4 linked regions of the Arabidopsis thaliana genome follow. The protein of the gene in region 2 purifies or fractionates together with the protein of the main gene of each other region. This does not show direct contact. Each region holds a gene or a part of one and is shown on either strand. Other genes may lie near its edges. The genes, in order: AT4G32470, PHB5, AT1G16700 and HAP6.

Region 1 (7,503 bases), on a different chromosome or scaffold from region 2:
TTGCATGCATATTATGTTTAGTAGATACGTTGGTACATCGAATAGTGATTAGGTCATTCTAAGGAAACTTGAAACTTTTGATACTGTACTTGTTATACTATTTGGTTAACAAAAACGAAATAAAATTAAGATTTGAAATTTAAATGATTTATTTCAGAAATCGACGTTTGGTAATTAGTATGAGAGTCAAATAAATTTGTGTGTAATTAAATTAGGTCAGTGCTGTTCAAAGCTGTCCATGTACCCATATATGTTTGTGGCAAGGATATGCTATTATAATGTTCTTGATCTTTTTTTTAAAAAATGTTCTTGATACATCAATTACAAACTAAATTAGTGCCTTAGTGGAGTGCATATTGGACACGTTAACTAACCAATCTGATATATAATGCTCATCTTTCGCGCTAATATACACTACAGAATTTTGATGGCAATGGAAAATATATACTACAAAAAAAATTAAAGTTTCAACTAATTTATTTACATAAATTAAAGTTTATCAATTAACGGACAGAAGAAAACAAAAATTATTTGAAAAAAAAGTTTAAAACTGAATTAAATAGAGTTTGTTGTTGTAGACAACAACAACAACAAAAAAAAAAAAAAAACTTGTTGTAGACAACAATACCATCAATTATTTTTCTTTCTCTACGACAGTTACAATAGTGAAAACCCATCTTTAATTGCAGGAGATTTGTTTTTTTTAGAAGACGGACTCATTCGACAAGTTTCCATACGTTTGTATATATAATTATACACATGATTTTCCCAGTATAAGATATGTTAAACTCTGTTCAGCTATATTTTATATCACCCTTTTCGCCTTTAATTATTGTTGTATATATCTTAAAAACTTTTAGGCTAACTGCTGAGTCATATTCAACTTACTCCAACAGATTTGGTTAAATATCATGCTGCTAATCGGTATATTTCTCTAATTCAAATGTATGATCAATTATATTGTGACAGTCATCAGTTATATTATTAGAGAGGGCTAGAGCCTGGCTAGAAGAGCATCCGAAGAGTCAAAAAGAAAGAAATGTTAATGGAAAGATTAGTTATAATCTTACTATTTTTAACATGTATATGTTTTTTTTTTTTGATAAAAGACAAGCAGTTGAAATTGAATAATACATAAACGTTAATTTATCAAAACTTTTGAAAAGGATCGTTCTGATTACAGATATGTTAGAACACTTGACCAAATTAAGATACTACAATTTCTTGTATTGATCAATTGTGATTTTGACAAGAAAATTGAAATGATAGGGTCTTTAGAAGCTTTGGGGATAGCAAAGGAAAATTATAAACAAACACCACATTTCGCCTAGGAATAGCAGAGAATTCCACATTATTTATGTAGTTTTTAAACATTTAGTTCTTGAATTTAAGAGCTTTATTCAGGAAGAAGAGTGGGATAAGAAGGAATCAATATGGAATACTTTTTTTTCATAAATTCGTTTGTCTCCCAGCATTTAGACTGATGGGATATTCCCATCCTAAAAATAAGAATCTAAAACATTGTATCCTAAATATCTATCTGTAGACACTTTATTGTGTTTTTATAAAGCAACAATAATCAAATCAAAGTTCACAATCAATCTAATGTCCAAGCAAAAACAATTAAAGTGCTACTAAAGTTCCATTTCTTAATGATCTACAAAGTGTTGTTTATCTAATAAATTAAGGCAATTTGCATTCATCATATAAATTAAATACAACTTTTCAGTGTAATATATATGGACCTCACTATCAAACACTTATGAAATATTGGAATGTTGTGTAAAAGTGTAAAAATCAAATCTTAAATAAAGATAACTACTATCAATATGACAACAATTTGTGACAGTACAAAATTTAAACTAAACTATAATTTCCATTTTAAAAAAAAAATTGAGACGGCCAAAAAGGGCCAATTAAAAAGAAGGCAAACGTGATATTAATTAGTTACTGAATAATTAACTGCCATTGAGGCCAAAACCATGTGCTATGAAAGCTGTTTATCAGCGAATTATAACATTTTGTGTAAAAGAAAGACCAAGTCTACACAATTTTTAAAACATTTCAGTCCAGTAAAGTTAATCATCAGTTCATCACTCCAAATTTTATAACTTATATACGCATTTGCTTGAATAATTCTGCCATACAATATAATTTTATGTGATTTGATAAATATATATCTAATTAAATTAACGTGAGCTTAGCAGAGAGAGTATTATGTGCTAAGCTAAAACCGGTTTATACTGTTCAAAACATCAAATATTGAGACAAGCTCATATAGTCACTATACATGCCCACATGCATTAACCACTCAGTCAGACGAGTTATATATGGTTGTCTTTTGAAACAAACAAAACAAACTTTTACAATTCATAGTTGTGCGTTATTATCGGAACACAATTATTTGGAAAACAAAAATTATGAACTCATGAAGCTAAATGGGACTGAACTTTAGGCCTACTTCATATTTTACGATAAGGATGATGACGACGACTTCGTGGCTAAAAAATAGCAATTAGGATATGGGTCGTGATCAAAAATCCCACCAAACTAAAAATATATCAAACTAAATCAAGTACCTACTACATGCATGATTATCTCTTTAACCTAACCTTAATTAAAGTTAGTTTAGATATTGACAAGAAACTGTTTAAAATGCTTTGCTAAGAAAGTGGGAACACAAGATTTGAGAGTATTTTTGTTAAAGTCACAACATTTTAACCTTAAATTACACTTGCAACTTGAGACGATACTTAATCACTTTTTAAGTTAATTTAATCATAAGCAGACAAAAACATGCCTTTCAACTCTCAAGTAGTGGTGTTAGCCGGAATCCAATTCGTCTAGAGTAAAGAATGAAGATACAATTATAATTGTTTAACTTACCTCATCTATATAACAAGATTATCATTTCTCATTCCAGCTATTAAATTAAACCCTCTTTTTTCACAACTGGTATATCAATTTTGTGATTAATCTAGTTACCATTCATACAACTAGCTTTGCCTATACATAACATTCACATGAGTTTAGTGGATTTTACAACTTAAATTTCCCCCATTTTTTTTTTTTAAGTAGGATCGAATAAGAGTTAAATGCATGTATTTGTGAAACACGAAACAAAAGGGTCACTAAAAATTTGCACCAGCCGGGAATCGAACCCGGGTCTGTACCGTGGCAGGGTACTATTCTACCACTAGACCACTGGTGCTTCTTGTGAATTATTAAGACAAGTTAGTTTATAATCTAAATACAAGTTATCACTGGGCCTTAAATGACGCTACAGCTGAGCGACTTAAGGCCCAAATATTACTACGTGAGTACGTGACCTATATATGTCAAAAATACGTGAAGCTTAGATGGGCCACTTAAGGCCCAAATAAATACGTGAAGCAGAGCTTATGTGATTATTTCCTCTCTCAGGTCAGGAGTTGTTGTAGACACAGCAGCTTGGTCTCTTTCATTGGCACAAAGAGAGAAAATCTGAAATTGAGAGAGACAGAGAAAAATGGCGTCGCTTCTGAAAGCATTCATCGATCCAAAGAAGAACTTCCTCGCTCGTATGCATATGAAAGCCATATCTACTCGCCTTCGCAGATACGGTCAGATCTCTCTCGATCCATAACCCTAATTTCTGAAATCCGAGTTTGTTGTCAATGTTCATGAGTGAATCTGAATCTGCTTTGTTTTGTTTGGTTTGAATGATTAATTAGGTCTGAGGTACGATGATCTGTACGATCAGTATTACAGTATGGACATCAAAGAGGCTATGAACAGATTGCCCAGGGAGGTCGTTGATGCTCGTAACCAGCGTCTCAAGCGTGCCATGGACCTCTCCATGAAGCACGAGTACCTCCCCAAGGATCTTCAGGTATAATTCTTCATTCTCTATTTCTTTGGATGAAATTGATGTTGTTAGAATCAATCTAGAATATGGATAGGTAACCCAGGCATTTGAGCTCGAATATTGATTAAATGCTAGAAAAATGAAGAAATTAAGATATCAAATTGAAATCGAAACTAGTTCATCAGAAGATATTACTTTACTTTGGGGATTTTGTGATTGTGGAGCTTAGATGTATATAAACTAGTTTATGCATAGTCTATGCTTGTCTCTTGCGTTACTGTGTTTGTTCTGCTGTTGCTTGAGATTATTGGAAATTTTGGATTGATGAAAGGTTGAATCCTTGTTACATCTTTTTTTTTCCCTTTCAATAAAGTAAAGTGGTGTTTGCATGTATACTATTGTATTACTCTATGGTTTAGACTTTTCGATTTTTGTTACTTTCTTATTTGATGTTGTTATTAGATAAGAATGTAACTGTTATTATTGCTGGCTTAATTAAGCTATCAAAAGTTCACAACTTTAAAAGTATAAGGCTCTTTTAGTTTTCCAAAATTGATTAAGCTATCAGAAATTGCAACTGTTAGGTAGTGTTGTGGATATTGTAACTTTCTTATTTGATGTGGTTATTTCATATACAGGCGGTGCAGACCCCATTCCGTGGCTATCTTCAGGACATGCTTGCTCTTGTAAGTCTCCTTTTTGATGAACTAACATAGAAATCATTATCTGCGTCTAGGGTAGGAACAATCAAACTGCAATTCAGTGTCATAAAAGCGTACTATTCCTTCTTGAAGTAAAGTTTCCTCTTTCTTTTGGGCCTATCTGCTTCCCTGCATTGACAATGATGAAAACTTTGATGAGATGCATGTCTTTTCCTTCGTTATTTGAAGCAATATGTTTTTTTCAGATCTTCAATTTCCCTATTTCATGAAGTATTGCATCATAAAGAAAATGTTTGCAATGTTTGAAAAGTTCTGAGTGTAACTTTTCTGTAAGGATAGCCCATCATCGTTGTCATCATCCCTGTCTTTATGTTGTGATTTGCAGGTTGAGAGGGAAAGCAAGGAACGAGAGGCCTTGGGAGCTCTACCACTATACCAGCGCACACTCCCATAAGCATTCCTTTCCCCTTTTCTTGTGGTCAACGCTGCTTCTCTGCATAAATCTGCAACATTGATATTTTGGTGCTCACTTTCTGAACAGAGCTATTTACTATTTGAAAAAGCATAAATCTGTGATAGTTTTCCTAAGTGGATATGTTGCTAGTTACATTTTTATCGCTTTTGCTGGCTTGAATAAAATCGACGACGCAACTCAAGTCTGTCTCGATGATTTATCATTTTCGAGGTCTGGTTTGCTCTTTTATTCTTATAATTGGTCTCTCAGAATCGTTTAAGTTTTATGCATTGAAATGTAGAAGTGCCATGATTCCATATTCTTGGGAATTTGGTCGAGCCATGTTGATGTATCCTTTGCATTGACAGTTTCATGTGAGAAATTAATGGGAGAGAATTATGAGTTTATTAGGCACCGATAAAGCCAGTCGTTGAACTGTCCAAGTCTATGGTATGGGACTATGGGTGTGTGTTTTCTTTTTGTCTCTTAGTTCACTGAGTTAAAAAGATAGGAAGGAATCATCCGTACTATTATTATATGATCGGCCTTGGCAACCGAAAATTCTTACGTTGAGTTCAAACATAATCGACGAATACACAAAAAATCTACTTGTGGAGGAGATAAACCGGCAAGTGTAAGAAGATGGAAAGAGATCCTTTGGGCATATCGGGGAAATGAAACTTGGATTTCAAAAACTAACTTATTATAACTTATCGGACAGGGTGTAAAATCATTCATTCATAAGATAGAGAGACCCATGTTATGTATATAAATATTTCATATCCAGAAAAGAGCATTTGCATGTGAGTGTGTAGACTGAAACTCAAGCCTTTAATAGATTCAGGCCAGATCTATTCTTTTAGTTACCCATCTTCCTCTCTGTCCCCTCTCTCTCTCATCCTTTTCTTTTGCTCACTTTCGTTTAGCCAACCACAAATGTTAGAAATATGGATTTGAATTTAGAGATGAGATGGTAACAAGAAGATTAGATGAGTTAAGACTCGACACAAATTCAAGTATATTCCCTAAAATGATGTTTTTGGTTCGACTTCTAGGCTAGTTTTGAGGGCTTTACAAACCATCATATGAAACTATGAACATTGTGGCAACCAAATGGAGAATCAATAGATAAACTACGAAAGTAAGAAGATGTGTTGTAGACAAAAACATGCGATCTTGAATGGTCCATGGAAGTAAAAATTAAGGTTGTACACAAGGTGGATACTCATTACTGACAGAGACAGATGTGACATATAAAAAGGGTCAGTCTTAGTTTCATATTATTGGTTTTAAGATTGGTGTATGTTTTGGATATTTACTTTTTTTTTTGGGGGGCTGTCTTTTGTTTTTGCTAAGAAAGTTATAATGAAGGTTTAGGTGTTACAATAAGACCTAGAGTAAGTGTTCCTTGGCAAAAAAGAATAAAAAAAACAAGGAATCATTTGGATTCTACACAATCTCAGAGAAAAGAAATAAAGATTAGGATTCTTTAGCTGAGCCAAAGTGACATAAGATTCTTGAACTTCTTTCGCTTCCGCCTAACAGTAATGGAGTTTTTGATAAGCCGGTCTACTTCCTTGAAGATTGTAAGCGGCATCACTACGATGTTGTTATGGATGAGGTTGTTCCTTTGTCGCCAAACACTGTAAACCAGGGCATGGACAAGCAGCAATCGAAGGGTCTGCGGAGAAGCACGATTCTTTACCCTAGCTAGACCAAAGTATTAGATCCTGCCATTCACCAAAGACTTGTGGGGACAAGTGCAGACGTTGCAAGGCAAGAGTCCATATCGTTCTCGCAAAGGAGCAGTGGAGAAAAAGATGATCGCGTGTCTCCTCCATTCATACACAAAGGCAGCAGTCAGTGTTAATCTGCATTCCCCAAGACGCAAGTCTTGATCTTTTTGGGGCTGTCTTGTCCTTTTCTTCTATGTCTTCTCCGTTATTTCGCTCCCATGCAAACAATTTCTTATCATCACTCTTTTTCTATCAACATTCTCTCTACTCTTTCCTGAGTAAACTATTTACAATTTTCTTTCTTTTTGTTACCATATAAATAAATTTCCCATACAAGTAAATTAATTAGTTCTGAATAACAGATGTGAGATTGTAATTTATAACAATTGGCTCTCAAACTTGATAGGTAGTTAAATAATTGTAGTATAATAAATAGTTGATGTTTTAAACATATATAAAAATAATCTAAAACAACTATGATGTATATGACATTGCCGTTGCCCGTTGGCACCACAAGTCAAGGTTGTGATTTCATAAGTTACATTAAATAGTTTGGCTACAGATTTGAATTCTACTAAACTAAACATTAGTAATTTTGCAAATCAAGAAAGACGATATATAGTCAAATGTCGTTTAGTGGTCCACTTTCCCATGCATGTATGGCTAAATCTTTTTAATAGTAATGTGGATCCAGGGTTAACATCAAGCCAAAGTTACATGGCTGTGTGGCCCCGGTTTTATGGCCGAAAATCATAAATTTAGGTTTAACCACCAAGTCAAAACACACAGAGTTATACGTCCATC
Region 2 (6,089 bases):
AAAAAGAGCCTTATGTCAAATACGACGTCGTTTTGTATGGAAATGGATTTTTTACACCGCTGAAAAAATAAAAAGAAAACTCGGAATCTCTTCTTCTTCACTCAAGAAGTCGCTCTGAAACTTGGAAACCACATTTTTGTTCTCTCAAGAGTCTGTTTTTTTTTTCTGGCGTAAGTTTGAATTTCATGAAAAGTTGTTATCGCTAGTCGATTTAGTGTAATTGATATCCTGATTAAGGCTTTTCTCTGCATGCCAGCCAATCAGGCTAGAATTGTGAAGTATAAAAGTAAGCAAATTGACAATGGCGACTCCGACGGAGCTAGGTTTCTCTTCACCTGGTGGTGGTGGTGACGACTCTGACGATAACCCTCCACAGAAGCGTACTTCAAAACGTACTGCTTCCGAAACAGCAACAGAAGAAGAAACGAAGAAGAAGAAAAAGAAGAAGACGAAGCACAACACAAAAATGGCTTCTCCTCCGAGCAACCGGATCTGGAACGAAGAAGACGAGCTCTCTATCTTAAAGGTATTTCCTACTTTGTCTCATCTATCTACTGCATTTACTTGATTGCGTTGCGATTCCTGAAACGGCATATCTATAATTCTCAGGGATTGGTGGATTTTCGAGCTAAAACAGGACTCGAATCCAAAATTGATTGGGATGCGTTTTATTGTTACGTCAAAGGTTCCATTCATGTGAAAGTTTCCAAGTGCCAGCTTATGAGTAAGACCAGGAAGTTGAAGAAGAAGTTCCTTGATCAAATGGAGAAAATCGATCAAGGAAATGATCCACATTTTACTAGGTCTAGTGAAACTGAAGCTTTTGGATATTCCATGATGATTTGGCGTAAAATTGATGCTGAATACACTAATGGTGTTATGGATAAAGCACATCAAAGCGAGAGTGGAGTAAGTGACTAATAAGAGTTTGTCATTTGTTTTTGATACACAATCGTCAAATCTGTTACAATAAAACTTGCTTAATGAATTGTGGTTTAAGAATGATTTGGATATTGTTCAATTATATGGTTTGTTGAATCACAGGAGGAGGTGTTTGAGGAGGATGAGGAAGTGGCCTTAATTGACAAAGGGGCTGCGAAAAGTGGCAAGTCACCTCATGAAGCTGTTGTTGTTGTTGACAAAATAACTACGAAGAAGAACGGGACTGCTGGAAAAGAGAGTGATGATGATGATGATGATGTGTTGTGTGCTGTGCGGGATGCGTTTGAGACCACCATGATGTCGCAAGGATTAAGTGATTATCAAAAGAAGTTGCAGCTTGAGAAGCTGATGAACCTTGGAACTGGTAAAAGAAGAGAGTTGAGCAATGAATGGAAAGCACTATGTGTTGAGGAACTAAAATTGAATATCAACAAGCTTCGATTTTCCGCCAAGCTTGCAGAGGCAGCAAATGATGGTAAATAAAATGAAGAAACGCCATTTCAGCATTTGGTGTTTGTCGTTTCGGAATTGGCTTGAAAAATATAGTTTACTTCTTACTTCTTACTACTTATTAGCCATAGACCATTTACCTATAAATGTGGTTTATGTCTTTAGCTTTACTACAACTTCTGGTGATTGATCTACTTGGGAAAGTATTTGTACCATTTCACTTTGATTTTTACCATCACACCTCAGTGTCCTTCTTCATCATAAAAAGAGATGATATTATAAAGTTGTTTTGGTCAATATAATATATGATTAAATAGATATTTTGATACATGTGTCTATCAGTCTATCGTTTAAGCTAAAACTCAACGAGACGACAGACGATAAAAAGGGATTAAGTTTCTTCTGTGTAGATTATTCTTCTTCTTCTTCTTCTTCCATTGTCTCTTGGGTTGAGATTCCGATCTCAATGTCGATCAATATCGGAGAAATCTCAATTCCAGACCTTCCTATCTTCTTCTCCATGTTCTTAACCATCTACCTAATCGCTTACTTCATCGTCTTCCGCAATTGGAAACCACAAATCCGTCCCGAAGCTTCAAGCTGCCTGATCTCAATCTTCCATGGATCTCCAGCGGTTTTCCTCGCCACACGCGCAGTTTTCTCCTCCTCCGAACGCTCCTTCGCCTCCGCAAACACCGCCGCACAAAACACCGTCCTCGATTTCAGCGTCGCTTACTTCCTCACCGATCTCTTCCACTACATCGTCTTCAACCCTAACGACGTACTCTTCATCGGCCATCACGTAGCCACTCTATTCGTCTTCCTAACCTGCAGATTCCTCGTCTTCCACGGGGCTTGCGCCATCTTAGGCCTCCTGATTCTAGCTGAAGTAACAAGCGCGTGTCAGAACGCGTGGACGCTCGCCGGAGCAAGGAAGAATGATCCGGAATCACGATTAGCTGTGAAAGTGTACGATCTCTTGTCTCCTCCGTTTTACGCCTTCTACAGTATCGTTAGGGGTGTGTTGGGACCTTTGTTTTTCGGGAAAATGGTAGCGTTTTACGCTCGAGGTGGTGCTCATGGTGTGATACCTAATTGGTTGTGGATTTCTTGGGCAATTGTTGTTGGAATTGCTATTACTGTTAGTATACTTTGGATTTGGAATCTCTGGATAGAATTGTTTAGTGAAAGGAAAGCTAACAAAATCAGAGTAGACAAGAAAATTAGATAGTTTCTTCTTTCTTCTCTAGATCATTGTTTGATCTTCCTTTTCATGTACTATATATAATATATATACCATTATTATTCTCACCTTTTAGAATTCCTCTAAATGATGTATGTTTTGGAATAATAGATTTGCTTTTGGGTAAGCAGTATGTGCAAAATGCACTTTTAATTCAACTCTGTATTGTTCAGAAGTTCTTCTCTTAAGAGTTTCTTCCATACACATATGTCTTGTCTCTCTGCTACACTTGGTTGCTCACATCTTGATTCTTGATATTGATGAGAAACGTTTTCTTTATGAAGTGTGCCATTCTTGGTGAGTTATATTTGGCTTTATAACTCTCTTTGTTTACGGCCAACACCAAGTCCCCTGAAACCAGCAACTGGTAAGCCATATATTCTTTTACTTGGAAGAATCAAAAGTTAGCTGGGGAAGTGTAAGAAATTACGAAACACAGAGATTCATATCTTCGATCATTGGATTGTGAACTTTTCATGTGTTGAAGAGGATAGGAAGAGAATTGGGGACTAAACATACCATCCAAGCTGAGACATGGTGTTAGGCAGTCTGTTGTGGAAAGCTGAATGATATACCATTTGGCCAATGAATAGCATAAAATACACAAATTTAACCAATTTACTGAGAAGAGCATGGAATTAGAGAAAAATCTTTTAAGATCAAATAATCCCAAAGATAATAAGGAAAATGAAGGGATTGCTCAAACAAGGGGAATTATAAGGGACACATACAACAAGTCATTGTTGAATCTCATTTCAGTTCTTGGCCTTGATAGAATGGTTCTCCTTGATTCTAGCTCTGGTATCCAGCTTCACAAAACGTTTAAGATCATCAAAACTAAGAGTCTCAACGTTCTTCCTTCTAAGTTCGCTAAGCGCCGGTCGCTTATCAAGCAGATGCCATAAATAATCAGGGTGATCTGAATTAGGCAAGATCTTAGGGTCCAATCCATCTTTCAGAGTATTAGCACTAACAACCATACTCGATTTGATCTCTTTGCTCAAGTTCGATGCTTTTGGTGCATCATTACCTCCATCTCCCCTCCCAACCTTCTTCGCTTTACCAGCAGCTGTAGCAAATGTTCTTTGGCACACAAATCGCATTACATCTTTGGATCTAGAAATGGAATCCCCAAACATTCGAATAAGGTTCATATCAACAACCTTATACCTGCAAATTCACAAAATAAAACTAAATAAATCTACACAATCCTATAATGTTCGTTCTCGGATTTAGATCAAGATTCGAGTTTTGTCGAAGATTTTTGGGTGAGGGTTTAACTCGCAAGATAGAGATAGGTAGCGAGTGCATCGCGGGAACTGGTAAAACTTATTAAAAAGTAACGGACCGGAAAATTAAAAGACCCGTCTAAAAGCCCACCAATAGTAATGCATACAAGTAACACGTGGCAGGTATGGTTGACCGAGTGAGTAACAGAACGTGAGAAAACCGACCCGCTAAATAAGAACCCGCCCAATATAATAAGCTTTCTCCTTAACTTCTGCCTCACGCAAAAAAAAAAACTTCCTATAAAACCTCATCTCCTGCGTTCTCTAACTACTTCTCACCTATCTGACAAGAAAAGAAACCCTAAACAACATAAAAAGAAACCTAAAATCCATACAGGAGACATTCAAAGCCAATCATGCCTTGGTCAAAGTTCACAAAGGTAGCTCTAGGTCTAGGAGCTGCCATAGCGGCTGTGAGATCAACAATGTTCACCGTTGATGGTGGCCAGAGAGCTGTTATGTTCCACCGATTCGAAGGGATTCTAGAAGAACCAGTAGGAGAAGGGACACATCGTAAGATTCCGTGGGTGCAAAAGCCGTATATCTTCGACATTCGGACCAAACCCTACAAAATCAATACCGACTCTGGAACTAAGGATCTTCAGATGGTCAACCTCACACTTCGTGTTATGTTTCGCCCTGATGTAAGTTCCCGCGAATATCCAAAAAATTTCACTAATAAGATTTTGTGATATATATGTAAAATAATATATAACTGTTTTCCGTGGGTTCGTGTTAGGTTTCGCGCCTCTCGTATATATACCAAAACTTAGGTCTCGACTATGGTGAAAAGGTCCTACCAGCGATCGGGACGAGGTGGTTAAAGCGGTGGTGGCTCAGTTCAACGCTGACGAGCTCTTAACAGAACGTCCACAGGTCTCAGCTCTTATACGCGAAACGTTGATCAAGCGAGCTAAGGAGTTCAACATTGTTCTCGATGACGTGTCGATCACTGGTCTCTCATACGGTAAAGAGTTCTCACTTGCGGTGGAGCGGAAGCAGGTGGCACAGCAAGAAGCTGAGCGGTCCAAGTTCGTAGTGGCAAAGGCTGATCAGGAGAGACGAGCGGCTGTGATTAGAGCAGAAGGAGAGAGCGAGGCGGCTCGGGTTATATCGAAAGCGACTGCAGGGGCTGGGATGGGGTTGATCAAGCTCAGAAGGGTCGAGGCGGCTAGAGAGGTTGCGATTACGCTCTCTAATTCTCCCAATGTCGTCTATTTGCCAAGTGGTGGGAATATGTTGTTTGCAATGAACGGTCCAAGCAAAGTTGTTGCTTGAATTAGTTGCAAAAATATGGTGTTCAATGGTTATATTGATTTGTGTGTTTTAAGATTTTCATTTTTTTATATAGTTTCCTAGTATTGGATCACCCTAGTATACTCCAGTTGAGACTGTTCTTGCGAGTCTGAGACTCGCACACATGACACATGACACATCTACTGTTAAGTCGACATTGACATCAAATTAAACAATCACTGTGCCAATCAAACTTATGCATAGACCTAGAGATAATTAAGTAGTCCAAGTTCAAAGGTTGATCTAACCTGGATCAGTGCCCTTGGTAGCTATGGCACATACTTCCTCACTAGGGAAAATGGGAGCTGATTATCCAGCAGCTTTCGATTAGATATCAACAAACAAAATGCAAATTAGGTTATCTTAGAAAGAAAAAAAAACAAGCTATTCATCGGATCACAAGTCACAAGTGTCACCTCGAAAGAAACTTGGGCCCATCTATATTATCTTATGGGCCTTATCGACCGATTCAAATATTGCAAATTAGTGTCGTTAACCTTTTTTGAAAACATACGGCCATTAGTGACAATTTAATTAATATTCTACAAATTCGAGCAGTGTCTTCTACATTTCTTTGTAAAGTCTTTGGTTTTTAATTTTAAGGTCAAGTTCACCATGAGCGACCAAAGTTTTGAATTTTTCAAGGTTTTTATTTTCATTTTATCGTTGTATGGAGAAAGTTTCTTATATCTTCATTTGAACATTGAATAGAATTATTAAACATTATAATTCAAGGTAGGATGGTCAAACAATTATTCTAGATTTCCCTCTTAAATTCCCAAATTTAACATAATTTAAGCTTTTGGTAACCAAAAATCTAACATCTTACAAAATTTAATAAATGTTTTTGGCCCAAAGAAAATTTATAG
Region 3 (7,757 bases), on a different chromosome or scaffold from region 2:
TGTTACACATTTACCAGTTTAGGGTTCTGGGATTTTGAATCTGCGCGATTTCTGTTGTTTCTTTCCATTTGCAGATTTTACTTTCTTCCTGTCTCATAGGAGCAAAGCGTTGATGAGGTCTTTCGTACTCAAAATAGCTATATAGATATTGTTTAGTAGAGAGGAGGAAGATAGTGAAATGAGTAGGCTATCTTTTCGACCCCGTCCACTGGACATACACAAGAAGCTTCCAATTTTAAAGTCTTTTAAAGACTTTGAAGACGAAGATAATCCTTCTTCCATTACTAGAAACTCTCAGTTGCTGCGTATATCTGCCGTAGAGGTTGTTGACAATGAGGTGAAGTTTTTTTTTTTTTTCTCGGTGTATCGGTTTGGATGTGAAGTTGTAGAGTGATGATTAAAAGTTTCTTGTATTCACATTATCAGGTGCAGCCTCCAGTGCCTAGTAAGAAACTGATTTCGGAAATCCCAACACCTCAGTATCTTGTTGTTGATACATATGAAAGAGACTACTCTAGGACTTTTAATCAGCCTGCTTCATATTTACGCGCTAGAGGAGGTAAACCTTTAATACCTGAAATGCTCTTCAACATTTGTTATCTTTTCAACATGGGAAATGAAAATCTGTTTTGCAGCTCGGGCTGAGCTTGGAGAATTTGTGGAGTATGATCTTGACAATGACGATGATGACTGGCTTTATGAGTATAATAAGGAGACAATGATTCTCTCACCTGAAATGTAAAGTTTCCTACCTCTTATTCAGATTTTGTTAATTGTTTGTTTATAACATGCTTTCCATATTTTTAACCATTGAGATAGTTTATATTATCCACATTTCTATGAGCTTTGTTGTGTGGTAGATGGATCTATTAGCTCTAGAATCTAAATTTTTCTTCTGTCTCTCCTCTGGTGCCTTCAATTTATTTTGGATTTTGCCAATAGTGCAAAAACTATGTGATCAAGTGGAAACTGAAAGAAGAATTGGTTCTATACTTATATCCGATATTCCCCTAACATTGAGTTGAGATAGTGCTCAACTTTTCTCTTGTTTCAAAACAAAAACCTGCTACCCGTAATCATGCTTAATTACTTGATACAGGCTTGAGATCGTTATATTTAAACTAGAGGTCTTGGATCATAAGGCGCGGGAAAGAGCTGGAGTTATTACTCCTACCCTTGGTTTGCCAGTTCCAGTGCTTTTGCAGCCTGATGCTGCTGGTGAGGTATACACTTATTTTCTTTTGTTTATCTAATTTTGATTTATATTTGGTTATGGAACTCAAAAGGAGGAATAAAATGATGATGGTTGATTGGCTAGTTCTCATCATAGTGAACCATCTTTTAACGGGGACAGTTTTCCAAAGGATGTGATTATACTTTTCCTCACTGCCTAAAACTGTAGCAGGAGCCAGGAGCATAGATCTAGTAATAGTGATTATATTGCCTCCTCTAGAGGAATGTGTTCTCCTGGGGTTATTACTCAGAGGCAGAGCAGGACATTTACATTGTTCTTATTGTGCTATTTCCATTTTTTTTACAGGCGCTGAAATATTTGTCCATCAAATATGGAGTTTTCCACGCTATATACAGTTATTGGAAAAATAAGGTTTGATATAGTTGTCGTATAGTTTGATGATAATTGATTTTTTTTTTTTTAATGAAAAGTTGTTAATGGTTCTTTGGGCATAGGCTTAAAACATTAAGTAACTTCGACTTTTGTATTCTTTTAGCGTGAAATATGGCAGAAGCCTATCTTGCGGCGTTTACAGGTATATCATTTGGACTGGTCTCAATCTTACATGTGGAAGAAATGAATTTATTCTGAAATGTACTGAAAATTAGCTACTCTTGTGTTTTTTGTTTGGAACAGCCTCCACCACCGGTCAATGATACCAATCCGTACAATGTGTTTAGGCCACGGGAGAAAGCTCATAGACTACACGCAAGAAGAGTAGGCTGTCTTGTTGTCTGTGGTTTATCAATTTCCTTATCTTACATGTGTGAGTATGGAAAATGCACCATAACTTACTAACAATAGTTGACCTCACTTCAGATGCAGCAGAGAGAAAACAATGCGCAGTCATTTGAGAAGCTGCGACAGGTAAGGGAAGACCTGAATCTGTGTTTAACTTCTTAAAATAATTCCTGGATTCTCAAACGTTCTTCTCTTCTGTTCTGGGATATGTTATTATTAGGTCAGGCGCAATCTTGACCAAGCAAAGACCATTCTAGAAGCTCTTATTAAGGTAATCTAAATGACATCTATATTTTGTGACTTGAATGTAATTTTATTGATATCTTAAGAGATACCTGCAGACTCCATAGGTATTAACTTGATTAAAAACATGTTATCTTTATAGAGAGAAGAGAAAAAGAGGGATTTCATGGCGAGTGAGGTTAGCCTTCAGAGAATCCAACTGAAATATAAGGTAGTCCTCTACAACCTGCATCGAGTGTTCTTTTGTTACCAGAAAGAGTTGTGCATTTCGATCTCCTCTGATTTTTTTTGTGGGGTTTTGATATGTTTGCAGAATGAAACCGAACTTTTGGAAGATAGTTTGGCTCTGGCTGGGTTTCCACTCTCTACAGCTTACAGATTTGGCTCAAGCGAAGATGAATTCATGGACTCCGATGACCCGACCACCACCCAAACATGTACAAGGCCTTCCTTTACCCCTCATCGTCGTTTCACCGACTCAAACCTCGCTCGAGCTCAAGCCGGGAGCATAAAGCAAGAGGCGAGAAGACTTGGATGGCTCCACAAACTGGTAATTCTTCAGAACCTCTGTATTTGAAACATTTGAGACTATTAGGTTACTACATTCTGGTGACAAGATAAAAAAGAGAGAATTACGTTCACTGTTTATGTTGTTTCTGTGTAGAATCCTAATGAGCCAGTTATGCTGTTCACGAAAGCATTGGTCCCCGATAAACTGGCTGCTGCGGGAATCATCCCTCCATCAGATGCAAGAAGTGGAAGAGCTCGGTTTCAAGGAAGAATGGGTAGAGGCGGTCGGATTGTATTTGATAGATGGAATCCTCTAAACCAAGCCCACATTAACTGTGGCAACACTCTCTACATAGCACCATAACATCTCAACTAGTTTTCTTCTTCTTCATTGTAAAGAGTTATCCCCGTTAGTTCCTCCCCAGTGGTGGTGAAGATTGTCACCAAAACACTTTGTATCTCCTCTAAATTTTGTGTAGTCTTTGGTTTTCCCGGTTTATTGATCAATCTCGGCTACTTTGTGAACTTTAGGTCCGGTTAGTGACCATTGATCAGGTATTAACTTTTTTCAGCAATGGTCTAGTTTGGTCCACGTCTTGAGAACCTGGATCCTGAAATGTGTGAAACTTGGAAGGAATTGACTGTCATACCAAATATAACCGGTTTGATTGCCCGGTTATGAGCTGAGTAAGTAGTTAACCAGAAGGGTCAATTTGTAAATTAAGAGACATCTGATCGAATTTTGTTCCGACGACCGTGAATCACCAGCAAAGGATTCGTGTCAATGTTCTTGTGAGATCGAACTTTCTCTGGGTTCGTGCAGAAGCTTTGCTTTTTTGAGTATCGCGTTTAAGGTTCGGATGGAATTTTAGGCTTTTCGTTGGTCATTCTCTTGTTCAATGCTTCTTTTGCTTGATTAAGCTTTTCAGCTAATCGGATTTTCTTCTCTCACATCAGGCACATCGAAGAAGAGAGACCCTAATTTGATATTTTGAGTTCTATCGATGGCTTCGCTACTAGCTCGCAGGTCGTTCAGTGCTCTCCGAGCTCGACATCTCGTAAGAATCTCGTAGGCTCTTCCATTTTATATCGCTTATATTCCTAGAAATTTGGAATTGCTGCTAAGTTTTTTGAAATCACTAGTTGGTATTGTCTGCCCCGGCCGGCTCTAGGCATGTGCAAGTGGTGCTGCTATACATGTTTTTGTCTTTTTTTTTCCTGGGTATTGTTCCTCTATGCATCTCTTTGTATTGCGTTGGTACATCAATCGTGAAGCTTCATTTTTCCTTTAGATCATATACTCTTCCTTGAAGAGAGAATGTATCGCCTAAATGTTGTTATCTCAATCTCTGCAAATATAAATACTTTAACTGAGAGCGTCGTGGTAGTTAACTTTTACTTTCAATAGCTCTTTTGGTGGCTATGCTATGGAATTCTTCTCGCATTTAACATCTACCTTGTCTTTGTTGATAGGCTTTTTCAGGGCAAGGTTTACAGGGATCTCATCTCTGTGGGCTACAGTCCCGTGCTATATCTTATGGAAGCAACAAAGGTATAAATTTTGTTGCTTCCATTTGGGTTCTCTTGGTTAATTTAGGCTATGACTTTTCAGGAATATAGGTTACTAATCCTTTGCCTCTGGTAATATGTAGATGATGAAGAAGCTGAGCAGCTTGCTAAAGAGATCTCCAAGGACTGGAGTACTGGTAAGCTATTTGATCCAGACACTTTTCAACCTTTCTATTCTCTTAGCATTCCTTCCTGATTACTTCCTTCTGCGAGTCTTAGCGATTCCTGATGTTTCTTACTTTTACAGTCTTTGAACGGAGCATGAACACCCTATTTCTCACTGAAATGGTCAGGGGTTTGTCACTGACCCTCAAGTACTTCTTTGATCCAAAAGTTACAGTGAGTGGCTGTCTCCCTTGACTCTAGTAATTAGGCTGAAAGAAAAATATTCTGATTCTCAAGTTTTATCTTTTGTGCAGATCAATTATCCTTTTGAGAAGGGTCCATTGAGCCCTCGTTTCCGTGGTGAACACGCTCTTCGAAGGTATCCAACTGGGGAAGAACGCTGCATTGCCTGCAAACTCTGCGAAGCTGTGAGTTTTTGAAGTCTATGCTACTCGAGAATTCATACCACAGCACAATATTGACATAAAGTGTGATTTTTCATGGATACTGGTCTTTTGCTCATCAGGTATGTCCAGCTCAAGCAATCACAATAGAGGCAGAGGAGCGGGAAGATGGAAGCCGCAGAACCACTAGGTCACCCTCTAAGTTCCCGTTTATTAACCATATATATATTATTTAATACTGTCTTGTCTCTATGGTTCTTCTATATATTTCGTAGTGTAGTGATTGTTCGGAGCTGTACAGGTATGATATCGACATGACGAAATGCATCTATTGTGGTTTCTGCCAAGAAGCTTGCCCTGTTGATGCAATCGTGGAAGGACCAAACTTTGAGTTTGCAACCGAGACACATGAGGTCTGTATAAACAATTCAGAAAGACATAAGATTGCCCATGATCTTAAAGTTAGATGTGTATTATTCGATAAATGACATTCTGATTCTTTTTGGTGTGCAGGAACTTCTGTATGACAAAGAGAAGCTTCTTGAGAATGGAGATAGGTGGGAGACAGAGATTGCAGAGAATCTGAGGTCGGAGAGCCTCTACCGCTGAATATTGATCCGAAAATGCCTTTTGCCTAATTCTTAAGGAAACGTTTTCGTTTGCTTCTGTTACAAATAAAGATGCTTCAGCCTTTGCACTGTTATTGCTATCTGTATTTCTTGAGTTCATACCGATGGCAAAATCAAATTTGGCTTTGTTTCCGGTTTGAGCTGGACCGTGCGGTAAATGGATTATGATATGATTCAATGGTGTTGTTACTCTCAGTGTCGGTCGGTCAAGTGTCTAACAAAAAATTGCTAATATCTGAAGAGAACATTAATGATGTAAAATACAGAGAAATACAAGGGTAAAATGGTAGTTTAATAGACTGGCATGAACATGCATAATTGCATATCTAGTAAAAACCTCTGATTGGCAGAAACTCCAGCTCAGGAACTTACTCTATTTGGAATTTCGTCTTAAATTCGCTTTCTCATCTTCTTTTACTTCTCGGTTTCAAGATCTCTTTCAGAGATTTCTCATTTTACTTATCCTCCTGGCTTGCGTGAGTTTAGACGTGCGACATTGTTTCTTCATCGTAATCATAGGTTACGTTTTCTTGATCTCGTAAGGAAGAATCTTCCTCACTAGGCTCTGATCTTTGCGGTGGAAGATTGCTTCTTTCTTTGTGTATCAAATTTTAAAGTTGGATTGAAGTCCTAGGTTTTATCATCTGAGGTTTAGATGTATCTTCTTTCTTTGCTTATGCTTGGTTTTACTACTGATTATGATTATGCTGGTTAATTGGTGTTGCTTTAGGGATTTCACGTTACACTTGCTCCCATGGACAATGATGTTTTCCAGATTCGCCGGTCCATGCGAGACGCTATGTAAGCCTTCAATTTTTCACATTCACTCGTTCCTCTTGCACTCTTTTCCTTTTCTCTGTTAGTTGCTGCTGTACTACGGATTGAGTTAATGTGTCTGGGAAAGTGGGAATGATCTAACTTATTACTGCTTTTTGGCTCTGTGATCATGTATTTCTGCTTTGTTTCTTAAGAAACAATATCATCTATTAGTGTTTCTACTACTGAAATGTTACTTATTTGGATTCCAGTCTTGTCACATTGGTGTTCATAGTTGTTTTCCTCTCTGCGTGTATATCTCCGAACCACACTAGAGGGTTTCTTGATGGGTTGTTACCTCATTTGAGGAAACGTTTCAAATTAACTGATCATCCAATCTTTCCAGCTTCGTCCAGTTAGAGAAGCGAAACCCACTTCCGAATGATGATGCATCAAAGGGGAAGCATTTAGATGCTGCTAAACGCTTAGAGGAAGGACTTTTTAAAATGGCTATGACAAAGGTACATCAATTATATTTACTTGATTAGTTATAAGCATTTAGGATTTGATTTACTGAGAATTTCTAAGTTCTAACTAAACAAGACTGGTTGATGCCTTCTGACATGTTGTCACTGAATCCAGCTTGTTTGCTATATGTCCTCCCTTATAAATATTTTCGTTTCTGACACTTTTAACTTCAAAACTCACAGGAGGAATACTTGAACCCGTCAACTCTTGAATCTCGCTTGACAAGCTTAATAAAAGGCAGGCAATTGAATAAGTACAAGCACCAACATGCTGATTCTTCTACGCTTGGAACAACCATAACACCTACTCCAGGAGTCTCTGCTGAACCCACAATGGTACATTACATACATCGAATTATTCACGAGCTTTAATTAAGAGGCGTATAATTCGAAATGTAATATTATAAACATTCTGAACTTTGTGATGTTCCAAATTTTTTTGGTTTGGAGCAGGATAATGAGAACAGAGATCAGTGCGAGACAGAGATTGCTGAGAATCTGAAGTCAGTGAGCCTTGAGCCATGAAGATTATCAGAAAGTTCTTTTTACGACTTGTTTGGAAACGTTTTCATTGCTTATGTTACAAGGAAAAGATGATAACATATACAATACTAACGCTTCTGCCTTCTCCATTGCTACTGTATTGCTAATTGTAAGATCTAAAGTAGGAATGGTAAAACCGGTTATGATTTGTTTCCGGTTAGACTTGGAACATGTATGAATTTGAATGGTTTATTATTAGTTACTCTTGGTAATCGGTACAGAAAAAAAAGTAGTTGCGAAAGTAAACAGAGCAAAAACTACAAGGGTGTGAAGATTTAAATTACTGGAACATTTGATCGGACGGATAGGAGCGCATGTATCTCCGACACTTCTCCTTGGCTGTTGGATTGTCGACCTTGGTTCCCCCAATTAACTTTGACAGAGGTTCCTTGATGATTCGTATTCAGACATAAGTAACATAAGGTAAGTGTTATTTAATGTGTCTTTTGTTACTTACAAAATCAAAACCAAAAATCCCTAAATAGCCAAAAAAAAT
Region 4 (10,680 bases), on a different chromosome or scaffold from region 2:
ACAGGTCACTGTGGCATTGTTTCTAGTCTATGCTTTAGAGAAGGAACTGCAGAACTCTTTTCTGGTTCATATGATGGAACATTAAGTATATGGAATGCAGAACATAGAACATATATAGAATCATGTTTTGGACACCAGTCTGAACTTCTATCCATTGATGCTCTAGGGAGGGAGCGTGTTCTCAGTGTTGGACGCGATAGAACAATGCAGTTATATAAGGTAGGTATTGTGGTCTGTTTGATTTGTTTGTCTATATCTAAGCACGATTTTTGTTTCCTATCAGGTTCCCGAGTCTACTCGGTTGATCTATCGAGCTTCCGAATCAAATTTTGAGTGCTGCTGTTTTGTTAATAGTGATGAGTTTTTGTCCGGATCAGATAATGGAAGTATTGCACTTTGGTCCATTTTGAAAAAGAAACCAGTGTTTATCGTTAACAATGCTCACCACGTGATAGCTGATCATGATTCTGTTAACCATAACTGTACACCAGCATGTTCTTGGGTCAGTTCAGTTGCTGTCTGTAGAGGTAGCGAGCTTGCTGCATCGGGAGCTGGTAATGGTTGTGTGCGTTTATGGGGTGTTGAAAGTGGATCTAGTGCTATACAACCTTTATACGAGCTTCCACTTGTAAGTTTGTTTTCCTAGGTCGGCTCTTATTGCTATTTGTGTGTTGCATCTGTTACTGACATCCAATGCTTATGACCTTTTTGCAGCCTGGGTTTGTGAACTCTTTAGCTTTTGCAAAATCTGGTCGGTTTCTGATCGCTGGTGTTGGACAGGTACACATTTTCCTTTAACCAGACATATATATTCGTCTCTGTGAATGCCAATCTTAACTGTAACTTTGGGTATATGGCAGGAACCGCGGCTCGGAAGATGGGGTTGCTTAAAATCTGCGCAGAACGGTGTTGCAATACATCCCTTAAGGCTTTCATGAAGGGATCTCAATTTAGATTGCAACTTATTTTAGAACTTCAGTTATGTAGAGGTACTACAGCTATATTTTTGACATGGAAGGGAAGAAAGAGAACATATAGAGGCTCTAATTAAACAAAATCGGAAAGTCCCATTCCTGCTTTATGCTTAAAAGTCTTGTTTTATTGATCAAACAACATATACAATCTGATCTTTACGCATAGAGGAACTTTGTTTTAGTGGTATTCAAAAGATCCTAAAGAATACTAGAATTGATAAAAATTTGTGGTTTAAGAACTCAGATACACAAACTTGATTATTTTACCAGAGATTTGGACTCAATAGGTCTACAAAAATAGCTAGTGAACTAAGGAAACATAGAAGCCAAGAGGTCCCTAGATGAAGTCTAATGACTACGATTCTCTCTAGACTAGCTACCTCAGCTTTCAAACTATGATGATCCTTGGAGAATCGTGGTCTTTGTAGCTTTAGGACTCTTGCCATTGCACTCTACTGGACCGGGTAACAAGATGCAGAAAATGATATGGAGAGCTTGAAGAAAATACCCAGAAACTATGCATTTGAATGAAGAAGCACAAGCAGATGCAGGACATCCTTTCCTACATAACATTCTGCTGAACTTCCAACACAAAGCTCACAGAGGACAAACCTCAACTCCCATATTGATTAAACAGTTGTAATCTTGGTGCAGAACTGTAGATTCCAAGATAGTCTGCAGTTCTTATCTAGGAATATGGTTTTGGTAAGGATAAAAAGTTATACCAAGTTTGAGCTGATCATGACCCAGTGGCCTTCCTAAAGGTTAGAATATATGAAGAGACAAATCCTAAATGTATGAGTGTACAGTGTTCATACACATAATACTGAAAAATGAAGATTTGAAAGAAGTATGCAAACAGGCAAACACGATCAAGGAAAGAGATACAAAAGAGGTTTAACAAGATTCCATTTACATCCTAGACAACTTCACCTCTCAGAAGGCCGATATGAAACAATATAAAGTAGAAAAAGATTAAACTTTCAAGCTTCAACTAATATTCTATCATATAGTAGCAACTGCCAGTGACCATTTTATTTCAAGTAGATCACAAAAATAAAGACAAATGTCTCAAAGTTATATCCATTGATCGAAATCCAATCAACACAACTAATAAAACAAGAGAAAACCAATGACGCAAAGACAAATTCCTCTAACCTTAACAAGATCATCTCAACTTCTCTTTACCAGAGCTCTTCCTAGCCGCAGCATTCATAATCCTCTCCAAATACCCTTCAATAGGTGGAGTAAGCGTAGCCGTACCTCGACTCACCGGAAACGGAGTCAAATCACGCACTAAAGCCGCCTTCTTCAAATTCTCCGGCAATGCCTCAACCGCAGCGTTCCTCATCTTCATCAAACTAATCTCCGCTACACGTCTCGCTCTATGCTCTCTCATAAGCACTCTACTATACTCTTTCGCAAGTCTAATCCCATCCTCCACTGTAACCTTATACTTTGGTAACTCATCTTCCGTAAAAATCCCTAACGAAATGTAATCCAATCCTGGAGTCCCAATCCTCATCGGCGCAGTAGTAACTCCCATCGTAAAGGATCCACCTTTCTTCTGAAAATCAATCTCTTTTTGCCTCGCTTTACTGATTAGCCCTAGCTTCTCTCGTCTCGCTTCTCGCTCTCTTTCCTTAGGTCTCAGGTAACGAACAGGACAAGGAGCGTTTATGCATTGATCTGAGATTCTTCCTTTTCCCTTATCCACCTCATCACCACCTCTGCCACCGCCGTTTCCACCGCCTTTTTTGATTGTGAGTTTGTTGCGTTTCAATGATTGGCCTGTCTTCAGCTTCGATTTTCCTTTGGGGGTTCCACTAGCGTAACATTTCTGGAGAAGATTGTAACTCACTGAGTCAATTATAGGTTTTGGTCTCGCGAATCTGATCATTTTCAGATTCTGATTTCCTCAGAGCTCTCTCTGTTTGAAATGAAAATGGTGATTGAAGTTGATCTGCAAGGTTTAGGGTTTCAAGGTACGCCGTCGTTTCATGAAGTGTAATTTAAGTTCAAATCGAGGGTAAATCGGTAATATCAGGTAGTGTCATCAAACTCACACTCATTTTTTAGCCTTCTCTCTGGTTCGTCGTCTGGTTCAAAAGCTATAGATCGATCCTAGGCTTACCTCAAACCTCAGTCTCCGTTGACTACTGAGACTCGTCGACCTCTGATCCGCTTCTTCGACTATACGGATCTACTTCCGATCTGTAAGAAGCTTAAATCTTCGGTTGATTTTGGAATCCATCCGTCGTAGATGTGTAATTGTATTGATTTGGATGAGTTTATCTGTTTTTTTGAGTTTTCTTATGCAGTGATGATGGCCGGAGGTAACGTACGGTTTCTGGTTTTGATACTCGCCGTAGCAATTTGCGGTGCTGCTTCTGTTTTCCAGCCGATCTCAGACTCTCACCGATCTGCGGCTCTGGATGTCTTCGTACCAGTCGATGGATCATACAAAAGGTTGGTTTCTCTATCTTAAGTCGGCATTGCTTTGATGTAGGGGTTTTAACCACATTTCACCGATTACATATTGGTTGCTCGTTAATGTTCATGAATGGTTTTTGTACGGACTAATCTGATTTTTATTACTATCAGCTTGGAGGAGGCATATGAAGCATTAAAGACTTTGGAGATTCTTGGAATTGATAAAAAGTCTGATCTTAGCTCAAAGACTTGTGAGAATGTGGTTAAAGTTCTTCAGTCGTCTTCTTCTACTCTTAAGGATGCATTTTATGCGTTAAACGTTAATGGGATTCTAAAATGTAAAATTGGTGAAGCTGGTCCTAAGGTAAACAATTGTCTCCTCTCAGTATCATAATTTTAACTATTAAGCGGCTAAAATAACCTTATCTTTTCCTCTTTTGAAGGACATTGTTTCTCAACTTCAAGCTGGTGTTAAAGATGCGAAGCTATTGCTTGATTTCTATTATTCTGTCAGAGGCTTGGTGCTGGCTAAGGTAAATACGAGTTAAAACTTTTGGTGGACATCTTGAGTGAGATTGACTACACCCTTTTTCCATAGAGTATTTCTAGGAGAGTTTTCTTAGTTTTTCGTGCATTATGTTGAAGTATGAAAATGTTTTGGCAGAAGGTACCTGTGATCGTGATTATTTTATTTTATTCAACTCCATAGCTTTGGCTTCCTGACTTTTCTTTTTCCTGGCTTCAAGTTTGACCTCACTGTTCCATGAATGCAGGAGCAATTTCCTGGAACTCATATAAGTCTTGGAGATGCCGAAGCCATTTTCCGTTCCATCAAGGTTTGAACTTGTTTAGCTGACCTTCAATTTTGTTGTTGTTGAACTATCAGATGTGACATTCATACACTGTCTTTTTGGACTATCAATTATAGACTCTGGTAGAAGTATATATATATTTTCGATATGTTACCAAAACTCAGTTACTATATTAATACTACTTAGATTGTTTTCCGGGTATTATTTGGCTGATATAGTGCATTTGTATCAGTCTCTTAGCCAGAGTGATGGAAGATGGCGCTACAGCTCCAACAATCCCGAATCAAGCACTTTTGCTGCTGGTTAGTAGTACATATTGGATTAACCCTTACCTAACGTTAATGATGAGCCTTTTAGATTATGTATCCCTTCCTTTCTTGCTTCAGCTTGTTCACTTCTTTTGCTCTTTGTTATTTCACTCATTCTTCTCAACATGCGATTTTTTTTCTCAGGCTTAGCCTATGAAACGCTTGCTGGAGTGATTTCATTAGCACCTTCAGAGTTTGATCCATCTTTGGTAAGTGAGATGTTTAATCCACTATACTTCTGATTTCCTGAGAATATATTTTGATGAGATATCACTACGATATGTTGGTTTAGTGATGATCTACTTTTGCTTCTGGAATCTCTAAGTAACTAAAATAAAGAGTTTTGTTTTGATAATTATAAATTCCAAATCTTAGCTACAGGGAATTGTGATTTGATAATCACAAAGAAAGATTCGTGTTTTGATAATTATGCATGTCCACCTGACTTCTCATTTGGTTATTCTGGTGGTTTCTTTTTCATTTTATCTGGTAGTTTATTAATCTTGGTTATGTAATGATCGTCATTCATGTTTGTCCTCTGTTAGATCCAGTCGGTGAAGACGGGTATCCTGAAGCTTTCTGACAGTATCCAAAAATATGGTATGCAGTAAATTACTTGCTATCCTATGTATTGCATGTTATATTCTCTTCACTCACTTCATAGTTTTTGCCAGCTTGGGTTTTGCATATGTGGGCTTTGAATTATTATTTTTGGTCTTTTAGATGATGGGACATTTTATTTTGATGAGAAGTCTGTTGATGCAAGTCAAGGCCCGATCTCAACAACTGCATCAGTTATTAGAGGGCTCACGTCATTTGCAGCTTCAGAATCCACAGGATTGAACGTATGTAATACCCATGTTTTCATGTATCCTATTCTGACAAATGTGTTGATAGTTGACCTTCGCATTCCCATTATCTCATGCAGCTTCCAGGTGATAAGATAGTTGGTCTGGCCAAATTCTTTCTGGGTGTTGGAATTCCTGGTGATGCCAAGGACTTCTTCAACCAAATAGATGCACTAGCTTGTTTGGAAGACAACAAGTAATACTACTTTCATGCCCCTTTGTGCATTTTCTTTGTGCATTTTCTTATTAGTTTATTTCAGTACACATCTTAGAATCATTTCAGTAACCTTGAATTGAGTGGTGTGAAAGACATAAGAGTTACAAGGACTTACTGTTACTTCCATTCTTTTGTGTTAAAGTAAAGTTGCTTATGAAAGAGAAAAACTGTTTCTCTTTACATTGTTAGAATTTTGAACAAAATGATTACCGAAGAAATGATATCTGTAGGGAAAGAGTAGAAGTTTAAAACTTTGAACACTTGTGAAATTTCAACCACTTGCTCATTTATTATGGTCTAGCTGAAACTTTATCATTCTATGGGAACAATAATTTGCTCTATGGTCATTCTCTATCATTTCAGGTTTTCTGTTCCACTCATCTTGTCTCTTCCATCCACTGTCATTTCATTGACAAAGAAAGAGCCTCTGAAGGTACCCATTCATAAGCTTGCATCAAGATTTGACTTCTAGTAGTGAAAGTCTTAACTTTGGACTTTCTGGCTATAACGGTTGGATGTTGGATTCTAGCTGGTATTTGGTTTAGAGATTGCTCAGGCTCATAGCATTGCATCTTTTTTGTAGAGATCTCTTATCTATTTGATAATGACTCATTTTAGTTGACCCTTCATCCATTACATTTTTTCTTATTTTAGATTTTTTTTCTCTTTATCTGGAACTAGGTTAAAGTTAGCACTGTACTGGGTTCGAAGGCACCAGCTCTTAGTGTGAAGCTTACACAAGCTCTAAGTTCTAAGTCAGTGGATTCATCTGTAATTAATAACCAGGTAAATAATGTATCTCTTACTGTTTGAGCTTGCAATAGAAATGTTCCTTATTCTCTGCATTAGGCCGGTTTACATTTTTCCATTACATTTTTGGGGTACAGGAGCTTAAGTTTGACGCTGACAGTGCAACGTACTTCCTGGACTCCTTTCCCAAGAACTTTGACATTGGAAAATATACTTTTGTATTTAAGGTATTGCACTTCTTTGGTTTTACTACACCCAAGACTTCATATAAATGTATGATGACAACATGATAAGCTTCGTTTTCTGCAGATTGTGCTGGATGAATCAGCACATGAGAAAGTATACATAACTGAAGCTCAAACAAAAGTGCCTATAGCTGCCACAGGAGCTATTAGCATTGAAAATGCAGAAATTGCTGTACTTGACAGTGACATTGGAAGCGTTGAATCTCAGAAAAAGTATGTCACCTGTATTGTTGATGAACAACTTCCTTTTTTGCTTATTTTGATTGATTGCTAATTGCTTAACCATTTTTCTTAGGAAACTTGTACCATTATTGCTTACAATATATATTTCAAACTTTTTGTTGTTGTGCTTAGTGTCTTCTTTTTGTTTATTGGTTCTCTCTGTAACATTTGTAGGCTAGATTTAACTAAAGATGGAGCGGTATCATTATCAGCAAACCACCTTCAAAAGCTACGCCTGTCATTCCAGTTAACTACTCCACTTGGCAATGCGTTTAAGCCACACCAGGTTTGTTCATTCTTGATTTTTCGCTTCATCAATGGTTATATTCTGTTCTATTCACTTTCTTGACTTGCTTACTTCCATGCAGGCATTTTTCAAGCTGAAACATGAGTCACAGGTCGAGCATATCTTTCTCGTGAAAACTTCTGGAAAGAAGTCTGAATTAGTTCTAGTTAAGTTCCTTCAACTTCATTTAAAATTGCTTTTGCAAAAAAAGTTTAATGATCAAGTTTGGTGAAATTAATGACGTCCTAAATACAATATTAATGGTTAATGTTATTTTCTTACCTTCAGGATTTTCTTGGATTGGTTGAGAAGCTCTACTACCTCTCTGGTAAATATGAGATACAGCTAACCATTGGAGATGCTTCTATGGTAAGTACTTTACTTTCAGGTCCAATGCAGTTGATGATTTATGTCTTCTGAGATTTGAACAGTGTTATTTTCCTTTCTCTTTTCCCAGGAGAACTCTTTACTGAGTAATATTGGTCACATTGAACTAGACCTACCAGAGCGTCCAGAGAAGGCGACTCGTCCTCCTCTACAGTCTACTGAGCCTTACTCAAGATATGGGCCAAAAGCTGAAATATCACACATATTCAGGATTCCTGAAAAGCTTCCAGCAAAGCAGCTCTCACTAGTTTTCTTGGGTGTTATCGTTCTCCCATTCATCGGTTTCCTGATTGGGGTCAGTCTCCCTTTGCTTGTAAATAGTATCCGAAAAACATCATCACATTTCTTTCACTACTCATATATATTTTTTATGTTTCAGCTTACGCGGTTGGGAGTGAACATAAAGAGCTTCCCATCGTCGACTGGATCTGCAATATCCGCTTTACTTTTCCACTGCGGAATTGGAGCTGTTTTGCTTCTATATGTGCTATTCTGGTTGAAGGCAAGTTTTCATAACCGATTATTGTTTGTTTGATCTACAGTTGAATCATTGCATCAAATCACAATTTCTTTGTTTTGTTTGTTTGCATTCTACAGTTGAATCATTGCATCAAATCACAATTTCTTTGTTTTGTTTGTTTGCATTCTACAGTTGGATCTATTCACGACTCTCAAGGCACTTTCTTTGTTGGGAGTGTTTCTGTTGTTCGTGGGACACAGAACACTATCTCAACTTGCATCAGCATCAAACAAGTTGAAATCTGCTTGAAGAAGAAGAACTCACTATGAAGGATCTTTTTTTGGTTTATGCGTATTTTCAGTTTTGTAGTATTGCTTATAGATTATGGTGATAGACAAATTCAAAAGAAGTTCAGAGTTTACATACTCTCTCAGTTTAGTCTTAAAAAGTAATCAAGAGTCTCTTTCCTTAGCTTTTTTGTTGAACCAAATCAACTAAGATAATGATTAGCTCATGATTAGATCACATGAGTTTCTTAATTATTCACACTTTATGAGTGTTTGTGGAAAGTTAAAAGGTCTAACAAAATTTTGAAATAGGCTGGCCATAAAATCGAAATGAAATTTTATATATAAAATCAAACCGAATTTCATTCTAGTCAAAATAGAAATAAATGCTGATAAAAATGTAGAAATTACTTTGGGTAGAAACGAGTCAACGAAGGAAATGTATTTGGTATTTGACCCTTAACATGGCAATGGCAACGTTACAACTTTTTTTTTTTTTTTTTTTTCTTGCATCGTTACAACTTCACAAAACTTTACAGTTGATTGGAAAATTAAATTTTAGAAGAAAAAGCACGTAGTTGTCTTTTCAGACAATTATTTGTTCATCTTGAATTTGTGTCCCAAGAACATATCTCTCTCTCTCTCTCTCCTCACCTTGGTAAGAACGTCCAATCCAATCTATAAATCTCCTTGATGGAATTTCCGTACATATTACTTGTTCCTTTCTGATCTCTTCTTCATCGGTTTTATGTTTCATCGAGTTTGAATATTTCTTTGTAAGTCTTTTCCTGTCGGTTATGTTTTCGTCGTTGAAATGGTTTCAGGAATTAACAAAGATCAGATTTTTGGCCTTTTTTTCTCTTCTAAATTTGAATTTCGATTTTGGGAACACGAATCGATGATGCTGATGATCTACAAATGGGTATTGAAAACGATTTGTTCATGGTTATTCTGCGGTCGTGGTTTCCCCAAAAAAGTTTGGTTTTTAAATTTGCAAAGCAGAGTTTGATCTCTCATTTAACAATACCATGTTCTAACCATATTGTGCGTGATGGGTGATTTCTTTGGTCTGTGAAGGATTCTCTGTTTGATGATTGCTAGTTCTTTAGAAGAGCAATGAGTTATTCTGGAGCCGGACTCGGAAAGCCTGGCTCAGGTAAACCATTTATCTTAGCAAAGATTAGTCTTTGTATGAGAGATATATAGGCTGTGACTGATTTATCCACCTTGTTGGTTCACAGGTAAAAGGAGAATAAGGGATCTTTTAACTCAATCTGATAACCGAGTCTGCGCTGATTGTGGCGCTCCAGATCCTAAGTGGGCGTAAGTTTTGCCATTTTTATGTTTTGTTCCAGTAAGCATTTTATGCTTCTCTAAGCAGTTTGATTGAATGTTATGATCTTGTTTCCCTACTTGTGCATTTTTTGGTTTGTTTCGTTTTTCGTAAACCCATAAAACTCTTGGTTGCTTATTACAGGTCAGCTAATATTGGAGTGTTTATATGCTTAAAATGTTGTGGTGTCCACAGAAGCCTTGGCAGTCATATCTCAAAGGTTGTGACTCTTTGCTTCTCTTTCTAGTTTTGGTTTATCTTTGGTGAAAATTTGCCATTGGATTCCATTAAGATGGCTTACAAATAATATTGTGGATTTGTTATCTCGCTCCACTTCTTCTTACAGAATCTTTTGCAAGTGTATTTATAGTTTTCAACTTTCCAGGTCTTATCCGTGACATTGGATGAATGGTCAGATGAAGAAGTCGATTCGATGATTGAAATTGGAGGAAATGCCTCTGCAAATTCAATTTACGAGGCGTTTATTCCTGAAGGTAGCTCTAAGCCTGGACCTGATGCTAGTCATGACCAGCGTATGAGGTTCATTAGGTAGGTTACAAAAACCCGATAAGATAGTGTATATACCTTCATTAATAGTTTGGTGAAATATTCATCTCAAATCTTTGTTTCAGGTCGAAATATGAGCACCAAGAGTTTCTGAAACCAAGCTTGCGGATCACATCCGTGAGGGGCTCTAGTACAAAGACTCCAGCATTTCTTTCATCGAGTCTATCTAAAAAGATTGTTGATAGCTTTCGCACTAATTCATCATCGCAACAGCCGGTAAAGCTTCTTTATTTTTCATCTTTTTTTTACCATCTAACTGTTAGAATCAAGCAAGTAGAGCAAACTCTTTGAACTTGGATACTGCTAAGTCCTCTGATTCATGGTGTTTTAAATTTAAACAATGACAGCAACTTGAAGGCATGGTTGAGTTTATTGGATTGTTGAAGGTGACTATTAAAAAGGGTACCAATATGGCCATCCGAGATATGATGTCAAGTGATCCCTATGTTGTGTTGACTCTAGGACAACAGGTAATTATAGTGAATACTTTTGAAATCTTGAAAGGTTTTCTCTTTATATGTTCTTACCATTGTTTAAGTGATCATTATTGT

What was found.
Region 1: the proteins of PHB5 (region 2) and AT4G32470 fractionate together in Arabidopsis thaliana (co-fractionation; one large-scale study listed by BioGRID). This does not show direct contact.
Region 3: the proteins of PHB5 (region 2) and AT1G16700 fractionate together in Arabidopsis thaliana (co-fractionation; one large-scale study listed by BioGRID). This does not show direct contact.
Region 4: the proteins of PHB5 (region 2) and HAP6 fractionate together in Arabidopsis thaliana (co-fractionation; one large-scale study listed by BioGRID). This does not show direct contact.

Annotation. Positions count from the first base shown.
Region 1 is NC_003075.7:15,667,101-15,674,603, reverse strand, and holds AT4G32470 (Cytochrome bd ubiquinol oxidase, 14kDa subunit), read left to right. Parts: upstream 1-3,354; 5' UTR 3,355-3,508; coding exon 3,509-3,602; intron 3,603-3,713; coding exon 3,714-3,871; intron 3,872-4,485; coding exon 4,486-4,533; intron 4,534-4,583; coding exon of another isoform or gene 4,584-4,584; intron 4,585-4,894; coding exon 4,895-4,963; 3' UTR 4,964-5,385; downstream 5,386-7,503. UniProt on the Arabidopsis thaliana protein: Component of the ubiquinol-cytochrome c oxidoreductase, a multisubunit transmembrane complex that is part of the mitochondrial electron transport chain which drives oxidative phosphorylation.
Region 2 is NC_003076.8:4,608,822-4,614,910, forward strand, and holds PHB5 (prohibitin 5), read left to right. Parts: upstream 1-4,280; coding exon 4,281-4,568; intron 4,569-4,740; coding exon 4,741-5,202; downstream 5,203-6,089. Other genes in the region: AT5G14280 (DNA-binding storekeeper-like protein), read left to right, coding at 302-526, 610-909, 1,045-1,425; AT5G14285 (DNA-binding storekeeper), read left to right, coding at 1,859-2,623; AT5G14290 (Mitochondrial ribosomal protein L37), read right to left, coding at 3,391-3,789.
Region 3 is NC_003070.9:5,706,280-5,714,036, forward strand, and holds AT1G16700 (Alpha-helical ferredoxin), read left to right. Parts: upstream 1-3,344; 5' UTR 3,345-3,582; intron 3,583-3,685; 5' UTR 3,686-3,732; coding exon 3,733-3,786; intron 3,787-4,201; coding exon 4,202-4,280; intron 4,281-4,380; coding exon 4,381-4,434; intron 4,435-4,544; coding exon 4,545-4,636; intron 4,637-4,716; coding exon 4,717-4,830; intron 4,831-4,928; coding exon 4,929-4,996; intron 4,997-5,107; coding exon 5,108-5,219; intron 5,220-5,319; coding exon 5,320-5,415; 3' UTR 5,416-5,764; downstream 5,765-7,757. Other genes in the region: AT1G16690 (Enhancer of polycomb-like transcription factor protein), read left to right, coding at 179-337, 427-559, 636-738, 1,100-1,223, 1,541-1,606, 1,731-1,769, 1,871-1,951, 2,054-2,101 and 4 more; AT1G16705 (p300/CBP acetyltransferase-related protein-like protein), read left to right, coding at 6,190-6,236, 6,598-6,712, 6,902-7,054, 7,169-7,243. UniProt on the Arabidopsis thaliana protein: Core subunit of the mitochondrial membrane respiratory chain NADH dehydrogenase (Complex I) that is believed to belong to the minimal assembly required for catalysis. Complex I functions in the transfer of electrons from NADH to the respiratory chain.
Region 4 is NC_003075.7:11,275,349-11,286,028, forward strand, and holds HAP6 (ribophorin II (RPN2) family protein), read left to right. Parts: upstream 1-3,080; 5' UTR 3,081-3,190; intron 3,191-3,282; exon of another isoform or gene 3,283-3,295; 5' UTR 3,296-3,297; coding exon 3,298-3,443; intron 3,444-3,578; coding exon 3,579-3,771; intron 3,772-3,850; coding exon 3,851-3,940; intron 3,941-4,180; coding exon 4,181-4,243; intron 4,244-4,451; coding exon 4,452-4,521; intron 4,522-4,671; coding exon 4,672-4,736; intron 4,737-5,072; coding exon 5,073-5,127; intron 5,128-5,250; coding exon 5,251-5,372; intron 5,373-5,455; coding exon 5,456-5,571; intron 5,572-5,955; coding exon 5,956-6,025; intron 6,026-6,273; coding exon 6,274-6,378; intron 6,379-6,479; coding exon 6,480-6,569; intron 6,570-6,651; coding exon 6,652-6,800; intron 6,801-6,983; coding exon 6,984-7,095; intron 7,096-7,177; coding exon 7,178-7,261; intron 7,262-7,383; coding exon 7,384-7,464; intron 7,465-7,552; coding exon 7,553-7,777; intron 7,778-7,861; coding exon 7,862-7,984; and 4 more. Other genes in the region: EMB2271 (Transducin/WD40 repeat-like superfamily protein), read left to right, coding at 1-219, 284-628, 715-780, 861-938; AT4G21140 (copper ion-binding protein), read right to left, coding at 2,143-2,874; ZAC (Calcium-dependent ARF-type GTPase activating protein family), read left to right, coding at 9,346-9,385, 9,471-9,552, 9,707-9,782, 9,948-10,111, 10,195-10,345, 10,477-10,599.